Linked DNA regions of Rhinolophus ferrumequinum. The protein of the gene in region 1 purifies or fractionates together with the protein of each later gene. This does not show direct contact. Links are inferred from orthologs where the notes say so. Each region holds a gene or a part of one and is shown in the gene's direction. Other genes may lie near its edges.

Region 1 (3,749 bases):
GGGCATTTCTGGGATGGTTTGCCTGTAGTGACAAAGGACTAAAAACCTAGCTGGGTTTTAACTCAGTCCTGGGTTTAGTTGGCTCTCCTGGTGGGTCAAATGGCGACTGCTGTGATAATGGTTACAGAGGTGTGGGTTTGATAGAGTTGCGGTTTATTGTTGTGGGAACCCACCATGACTGAGAAAGGGAGACCAATTCTGGGTAAAAAACATTTATTGAGGCTTCCTTGGTGCCAGACTACACTGTGAGGGGAATATAGTAGTCAGTCGGCATCCTGTCCTCAAGGATTTCACAGTCTGGTGGGGTACAGAAAAGCACGCAACTACCTTTTAGAAACAAGGCATACCAAGTATAATAAGGAACATATCAGAGCAACTAAGACATGGGGTGGGATTTCCTAGAAGGCTTCTTTAAGTAGGGAGCGTATAAGCCAAACCTTTAAAGCGGAGGCCTTCAAGTAACTGGTTGGTTTTTCTAATTGAAGATGGCAGCATGAGAAAGTGTAGGATGTTTTATGTTTAATATAGGCAGGAACCATGGGCTTTATTAAGTACATACTATTTGCTAGGGTCTGAGGATCTAGAAGTACATCAGAAACAGTACTTGTCCTCAAGGAACTCTCAGTCTAGAGGGGTAGACAGATGTAAACAGTCACCAGGGTGATGATGACTTCATAAGGTAGAGAAAAAAGGTTAAAAAGAAAAGCAGGTGTAAGTCTGACTTGGGGAGGCTAGCAGATGCTTTGCAAAGGAGTTGATACTTGAGTTGTGTCATGAGAAAGTAGGAGGAGTTTGCCAGGTGGACTATGGGAGGTTTTAGGAGGGCTGTAGGCAACTGAATAAGTCCCAGTGCTCTTTCATTGAACAGTCTAAGGATGGCAGGCAGCAAGCATGCAAGAAAAGTATTCCTTCCCCCTCTCTTCTAGGTTTTGACTCCTGGAGGGAATGACTTAAGTTTTCTTTTTCAATATCACACCCTAATAGCAGATGGTTAAATGAAAGGTTTTGGAGTCGGACCTGAATCCTATTCTAGCTATATAATCAGGTGTATGACCTTTGGTATGACACTAGTGTTTCAGTTTCCTCATTTATACGAGTACAACTTATGTCTCAATTCCTTCATTAATACAATTCAAAAATAAAGCACCTAGCACAGATTCTGGCATATATAAAGTACTGTTACTATTTTCTATCATTATCTTACTTAGTCCTCACAAGCAGCCTGGACTTTGGGTATAATTTCCCCCTTTTTTCAGAAGCAGAAACTTAGAGTAGGTAGGTGACCCGCCTAAAATTCACAGCCCGTCCGCCTTAATTTCGTATCCGCGCCGGGTTTTTCCAGGCCACTCCGGATTCAAGCTCCGGCCGGGCAGCTTAAAATCCAGCGCCAGGATTTGGGTACCACCGCGGCCTGCGCGGGGCGGGCGGGGCAGGCGAGAGGAGGGAAGTTGTCGAAGTTAGGGGAGACGCCCGCCAGCCCGCCCGCCCGGGCCTCGCCTCCGGCCGCTCCCTCCGCCTCCTCCCCGCCCCGAGCCCCCGTCCGCCCGTCCTTCCTTCCCCTCCCGTGCATGATGGAAACACCATGGCTGCGGCGGCCCAGCTCTCCCTGACACAGGTAACACCACCCGCCCATCCGCCGGGCTCGATCGGTCGGTTTCCCCGGCCGGCCCCCTCCCCCACCGCCCTGTGGTTCACCGACCCGGGCAGTTTCTCTCGGCCCCGGGAGAGGTGGCCGATAGTGAGAGCGAGAGCGTGTGCGCCGGAGGGAGGGCGCCATCCCCAGTCCGGTGCTCCGCCGCGGCAGCCGCGACCCCACCCGGGGTGGGTCGGCGCCCCTGGCCCCACTCCACGCGGCGCCCCAGCTAAGTGCACCGTGCCCCCTCCCCGCCTTAGTCGGTGCTGGGTCCCTCTCCCCCCACTCAGCTTTCCCCCACCCAGGAAGTTTCCTCCTTCCAGGCCAGACCGTCCCAGGTGAGCTCCTGTTGAGCTCGCGCGGATCGCCCAGGGCAGCCCTCGGCCCGCTCGAGGCTCACCCTGTGGGTTAGGCAGCGCGCTTCCCCCAGTTAGAGTCACCTTCCCAAGTCGGACGCTCAAGGCATCTGGGCTCGCTAAACCGGCCTTTTCCCCCTGGATTCCAACGAAAGCCCTCCCTTCCCCAACAGTTTTCTCCAGTCAGTCTCTGTTCCAAATGTCTTATCCGACCCGCGTGCTTACCCTGCTAGCCCCTTCCTGAGTTCAGCCTCTTCCCCTCTTGATCAGGTTTCGTACTGGGTCAGACCCCCGGTTAGTCCTTTCCTCCTCACGTCTGTTACCATTCCTATCTCCTGTCCAAGCGGGTAGCAGGGAAACATCCTTTAACAGGTGTGGTGGTTCCACCAGTCTTGGTGCTGGGAACGGCCATAGAGAACACCTGTCCTGGGGGAATTTTCACCAATACCGGTTCTCAGGGTCTTTCCTCTTGCTTTTCTGCTTCCTTCAGAGCCCCAGTCCTTGTGCTTCCCAGAAAACTTCTCAACATCACTGACTCTGGCAGCCTCATTCTTCCCTCTCTGTAAAGAAAGTCAGTTGTAATCTTGCCATGATGTCCAGGATAATGAGGTGACATGCACCTGTCAGTACCTTCCCACTCCTTTGACCAAAACTTATCCCGGTCTCACCTTATCAGCATGTTGTCTCCAGAGCTGGTGGCCAGGTCGGTTCCCCTTGGCACCCACCCCAACCTTCCTGCCTGCCTTTTAGTATCTCCCTGCCACCTTGTAGTCTCCTTGGCCTGGATTTTTCGTGCTTCATAGGCGTTAACACTGGGATAGGGTATACGTTTGGGCTGGAGAGTTTTCATTGCTGGGATCAAGAGGTTTTGGGATGTTTTGCTTACCCCACTGTAAGATAGACTGAGTGAAAAGTTGTTCTCCCCTGGAACCAGGAATCTCACATAAACGTACCTGGAGTAAAATAACCCCAGTTTGCAAGAATTACTACTCATAAGTGAATGTTTGTTTCCTAGTTTGTTTGGTGTTGCTTATCCTATTTTGACAAGCAGATAATGGGGAAGAATCCTTGGAATGTGGTGACTTAGTTTTGGTGGTGAATCTCTTTGGAGGGATCCTCCTGACACTCAAATTTGAAGAATGGCAAGATTGACTTTTGGGTGTTCACTCTTTTATGAGTCTAGTTAGTCACTTGCATTAAACAAGATCCTGTTGGCAGGCTGGTGTTCTCTGGCTCAGTTGGTCAATTCGGGTAGGAGTTTTTCCCCTCTTGAAGATTTTGTTCCCTCGAAGGCCTTTGTAGGTTTACTTCTTAGCTGTATGCCTGCCTACTTTATTCTCTCCCTGGGGAATACAATGCTTTTAGTTTCTATTTACTAGCATTCATCTCTGAAGGTTTTCTTCAGGCTCTGTCAGTTTTATAGACATATAGACAGTTAAATAATTGAAATATGTCCTTATGGTTACATATTTAAATATTAACATGTATACAGAGTACATACTGAAGCAGGAGTATTATACTTCATTGTCTCAAATGCTAGGACATACATTGGTGGTTCATTTATATTGACAATTCAAATAAGTCAATTTAGAATATTTTGATTTTAAGACATTAAAAGGAAGTAAGATATATTGTAAAGGCACGGGAAAAAGAACTTTTCCCAAGTGTTAATATACCCTAATATGTGCCTCCTTGTTATTTTAAAACTGCTGATTTGTGTTTTTTTAATTTAATTTTTTAAGTGCTGGAGGTACTAAACT
Region 2 (3,749 bases), on another chromosome or scaffold:
CAGGCAATGAGGAGCTGTTGTCAGTTTTTGAATAGGGACTAGATGTGAATCAAAGTTAAGATTTTTCTGGTGGCATCTTCTTGACAAAATCCACCTCTGTCTGCTGGGAGTTGTACCTAGAACCAGGTTTTCAATCAGCCCCACATTCCCTTATGATTTGCTTAATTTGGGTGGGCCATAATTATAGAATTACCCATCAGTGTGGTTAGCAATTTGGTGGTGAAGTTTGGGGAACAGGTCAAGGCGAGAGATAGAGATGTTAGAGTCATGTGTATGAAAGATAATTGAGCCCATGGTATTGCTAAAGGGATAGTCTAAAGAAAATGTGTGAGTATAGAACTTAAAAAATATATCTTGCTAGTCTCTCCCTCAGATACCATTCTATATCTCTTCTCTTTTCAGCCATACTTTCTTATGAAGTTATTTGTTACTCCTGACTTCATTTCCACACCTCTCATTCATCCTCAAACTTCTGCAGTGTGGCTTTTGCCTTCATTTCTCTACTGATGTTCTCAGCAATGACATCAAAGACCTTTGTGTTGCTAAATCCTTGGACACTTTTCAGCCCTTCCTTATCTCTATGGCAACTGATACTGACTAGTCACTTACACATTTATCCATTCAACAAATTTTGAGGAGGGAGGCTAGGCCTCAGAGATAGAAGAGTGAACATTGCTATAGTTCCTACTTTCATGGAACTCTAAAAGCATCCTGAAACATAACTGCTTGCTTTTCCTTCTACGTCTCTGACTACTCCTCTCAGTCCCTTTGAAATTTTGCTTTTTTCAGCTTTTGCCCCAGGCTCTCTCACTCTCCACATTAAAAAAAAAAAAAAAAGACTTGATTTTTGAGTAGTTGTTAGGTTCACAGCAAAATTGAGGGGAAGGTACCAAGATTTCTAGGTTGTGGTTAACAAAAGGAAGTTTTGCGTAAGCACACCTATTACATGTTTTACGTATTTTATCCCCGTTAAGCTTCACAAATCCAAGAGAGATACAGCCTTTGAGACTTCCTTTCACAGATACGTAAAGGTTAAGGAGATGTTAAGTAACTTTCCCAGCCTCATTCAGGGCAGAGATTTGAACTCAGATCTGATACCATCTCAGCCTTTTTCCTTGCACCACTTTCCTCTAGTCCCACTGCCCGTGTATAGTCTTGGGGTGGATCACCATTGTCCACACTCCTGAACTGGCCTGGGAAATTAGCTCAGTTGTTTCTTCTTTAAGAAAGGAACAGGATATTTCACCCTCTCTATGCGTAAGGATTTTAGAGAACTGTGCGAGGAAATAAATTCAGAGCATGTCAGCTTGTTTAATATATCCCTTGGGCTAGACAACCATCTGAGACGCGGGTGTCAGGTCTCTTCCAGACCAAGCGGAATCTGTGCCCCAGACTGCAGAGAGCACCGACTTTGGGTTCTCTCCCGCGCGCGGGGATGACGTCGCGCGGCGAGGTTCTCTAACGTCAGAGTTTCCTGTCCACCATCTTTGTCCCTGGCAAAGTAAGTTTTGCGCAGTGGCTGAGACCTGGAAAAGGAGTCGTGACGTGCAGGAAACCATTACAACACCACTCGGGCAGTGCTCTCTGGCTGCTGCCGCCACCCCCGCCCTTGCCTCCGGTGAGTTCAAGCTGGCCAACTTTGGGGTGTGTCCCTCCTTGATGGGGCGGGGGGATCTCTAGGATGGGTTGCAGACCGGCAGAGGAGAGAACATCCTAGGAAGGTGACCGTTGAGTAAGGAGTGAGCCGTCGGGTGTGACCGTTGTGAGGAAGAGGGTTGGAGAAAGGCACTCCACCGCTGTGGCGGGGTGCGGGAATCCTCGGGTACGGCAGCTGGGATCTGGGCATTGGGGGAGCGGACCGAAAGGATGGATATGTTCGAAGTCGGGGGTTAGGAAGGCCGGAGGTCAGGGGTGTGGCCGGTAGAGGCTGGAGGCCGAGGAGAGGACCTACCCTCGCTGCTTGGCGTCTTTCATTGAGACACTGGGACGTGTCCAGCTAGCAAAAGGGAAAAGGGATTCCCCCAAAGGTTTGTCCATTCATGGGCAAACCTCGCCCGTCTCCTGTAATTTGAGGTAAAGAGACCTCTCTCCCACCTCGTAATGGAGGAGCAAATCCCAAGAATCTTGAGCACCTGAGAAAAGAACAGGAATTCCTGACAGGGGAAGGGAAGAAAAGCTTCAAGAGCTGACCCAGTGTGAAAGAGGGAGAAGCAAGTGGGGATAAATCTTAATCCGGAATTTTTTCTTTCTGGATTTAGGATTTAGCACGAATGATCTGGTTTGAGAAAAGCTTGTAGATTAAGCCAGAGGCAAAGAAACTGGAACTTCCTGTTATTTCCAAATTCTTTGAATCCAAGGAATGTATTTATGCTGTTTGTTTTCAAAACAGTCTTCTATTTGGGGGACAGGCTTTTACTGAACTCACTTGCACGTTTGATTATGAAGCACTGAATAAAATGTGGCTGCTTCATTAAACTTTGACTTTTGAAAGGAAGTGTTTTTAAAATACCAAACTGTGATAATCGGTGTAAATTTTTTTTAAAAGAAAGTAGAGAAAACGCAGTCAGTTTAGAAAAGGCAGCATGACAAAGAAGGTGGTCTCAGTGAGGAACAATTTAAATTATTAATAACCTTCCTGGTGTACTTCTCTTGGTTAGCCTCAGGGTACACTTACAAAGTAATAATAGAAAGCAGCAGATGAACGAGATGCAGCTGGACAAGACGGCATGTAACACGTTCCAATGATGACTAAGCATAGTGGTAAGGTGAGAACCGTTTGCAGGTATCTTAACAGTTTAAACAATTAAGGAAGCAAAAGGATAGTGTGTTCTGCAAACAGCCTCACTGAAAATTGGGTGGTAAAATTAATATAAAGCTAACATTCTGTGAATGAAGACTCAAGAAAGTTCAGTTCTTCCACTTATTTTTTTCCTTAAACAGATTCATATTTTAAAATATTACATTTTAGGCACGGGTTTGAGGCAAGCTGAACAAGGAATGAATAAGATAGGACATGTTCTCCTTTTTTCCTCCTAGGTTTAAGTTTTCCAGAGTTTGTTGGTATTTCAGTTAAAAATTGGATGTAAAATTTTTGAGCTCTTACTGTATAATATTAATACATTACTTTGTAGTTTTATATTTAAATGGAAATCACAGGTGTGTCTGTTGTAATTAGGTGTCTTTTGTAATTTCTTAGGAGCTAAATGATACCTTAAAATACTATTGTTACTGCATTATCACTGAAATATCTGACTAGCACCTCTCACCCTTGTAATAAAAGATGGCTGGAGTGACCTTTCTGCTCTATAATTTGGTTAACTCTTTGGCCAGTTTTTCCATGTAAATACCAGACTGTCTAAAGCTCAACTTTAAGTGAAAAGAAAGGATTTAGTGGCCTCACCAACTCTAATTTAGCTGTCATTTCCCAGAGAGCCATTTGAAATTAAGATGCTATTAATGTTTTTCTGGCCTTATTCTCTTTAGGGGGACTGGAAGGAGGAAGAAATAGAAAGAGACAAGGGACTTTCACAATCTATCTTTAGTAGAAACTAGGTTATGTTAAATCTAGATGTATAATCCTGTACTAGGAGACCTTCTCTGAAGTGCAGTGACATCACACTGGGGGCTAGTAAGAGTGATTGTGTGCTTTGACTGGCAGCTTTGTTATTTAACAATGTCCCTAGGCCACCTTGGAAGTCCTCTGAACATCAAGGACTTGTCTAGTTTGATCTGGTAGAAAGGTAGTATGA

The links. The genes of interacting proteins can lie anywhere in the genome.
Region 2: the proteins of EPS15 (region 1) and AP2B1 purify together in Homo sapiens (affinity purification with mass spectrometry; 3 studies listed by BioGRID and IntAct, with this or other methods). This does not show direct contact. The link is inferred for Rhinolophus ferrumequinum from reciprocal best matches to the Homo sapiens genes EPS15 and AP2B1.

What each region holds. Positions count from the first base shown.
Region 1 is NC_046292.1:36,802,143-36,805,891, reverse strand, and holds the start of EPS15 (epidermal growth factor receptor substrate 15), read left to right. Parts: upstream 1-1,487; 5' UTR 1,488-1,582; coding exon 1,583-1,615; intron 1,616-3,749. UniProt on the Homo sapiens protein: Involved in cell growth regulation. May be involved in the regulation of mitogenic signals and control of cell proliferation. Involved in the internalization of ligand-inducible receptors of the receptor tyrosine kinase (RTK) type, in particular EGFR.
Region 2 is NC_046304.1:23,151,471-23,155,219, forward strand, and holds the start of AP2B1 (AP-2 complex subunit beta), read left to right. Parts: upstream 1-1,409; 5' UTR 1,410-1,618; intron 1,619-1,672; exon of another isoform or gene 1,673-1,822; intron 1,823-2,674; exon of another isoform or gene 2,675-2,765; intron 2,766-3,749. UniProt on the Homo sapiens protein: Component of the adaptor protein complex 2 (AP-2). Adaptor protein complexes function in protein transport via transport vesicles in different membrane traffic pathways.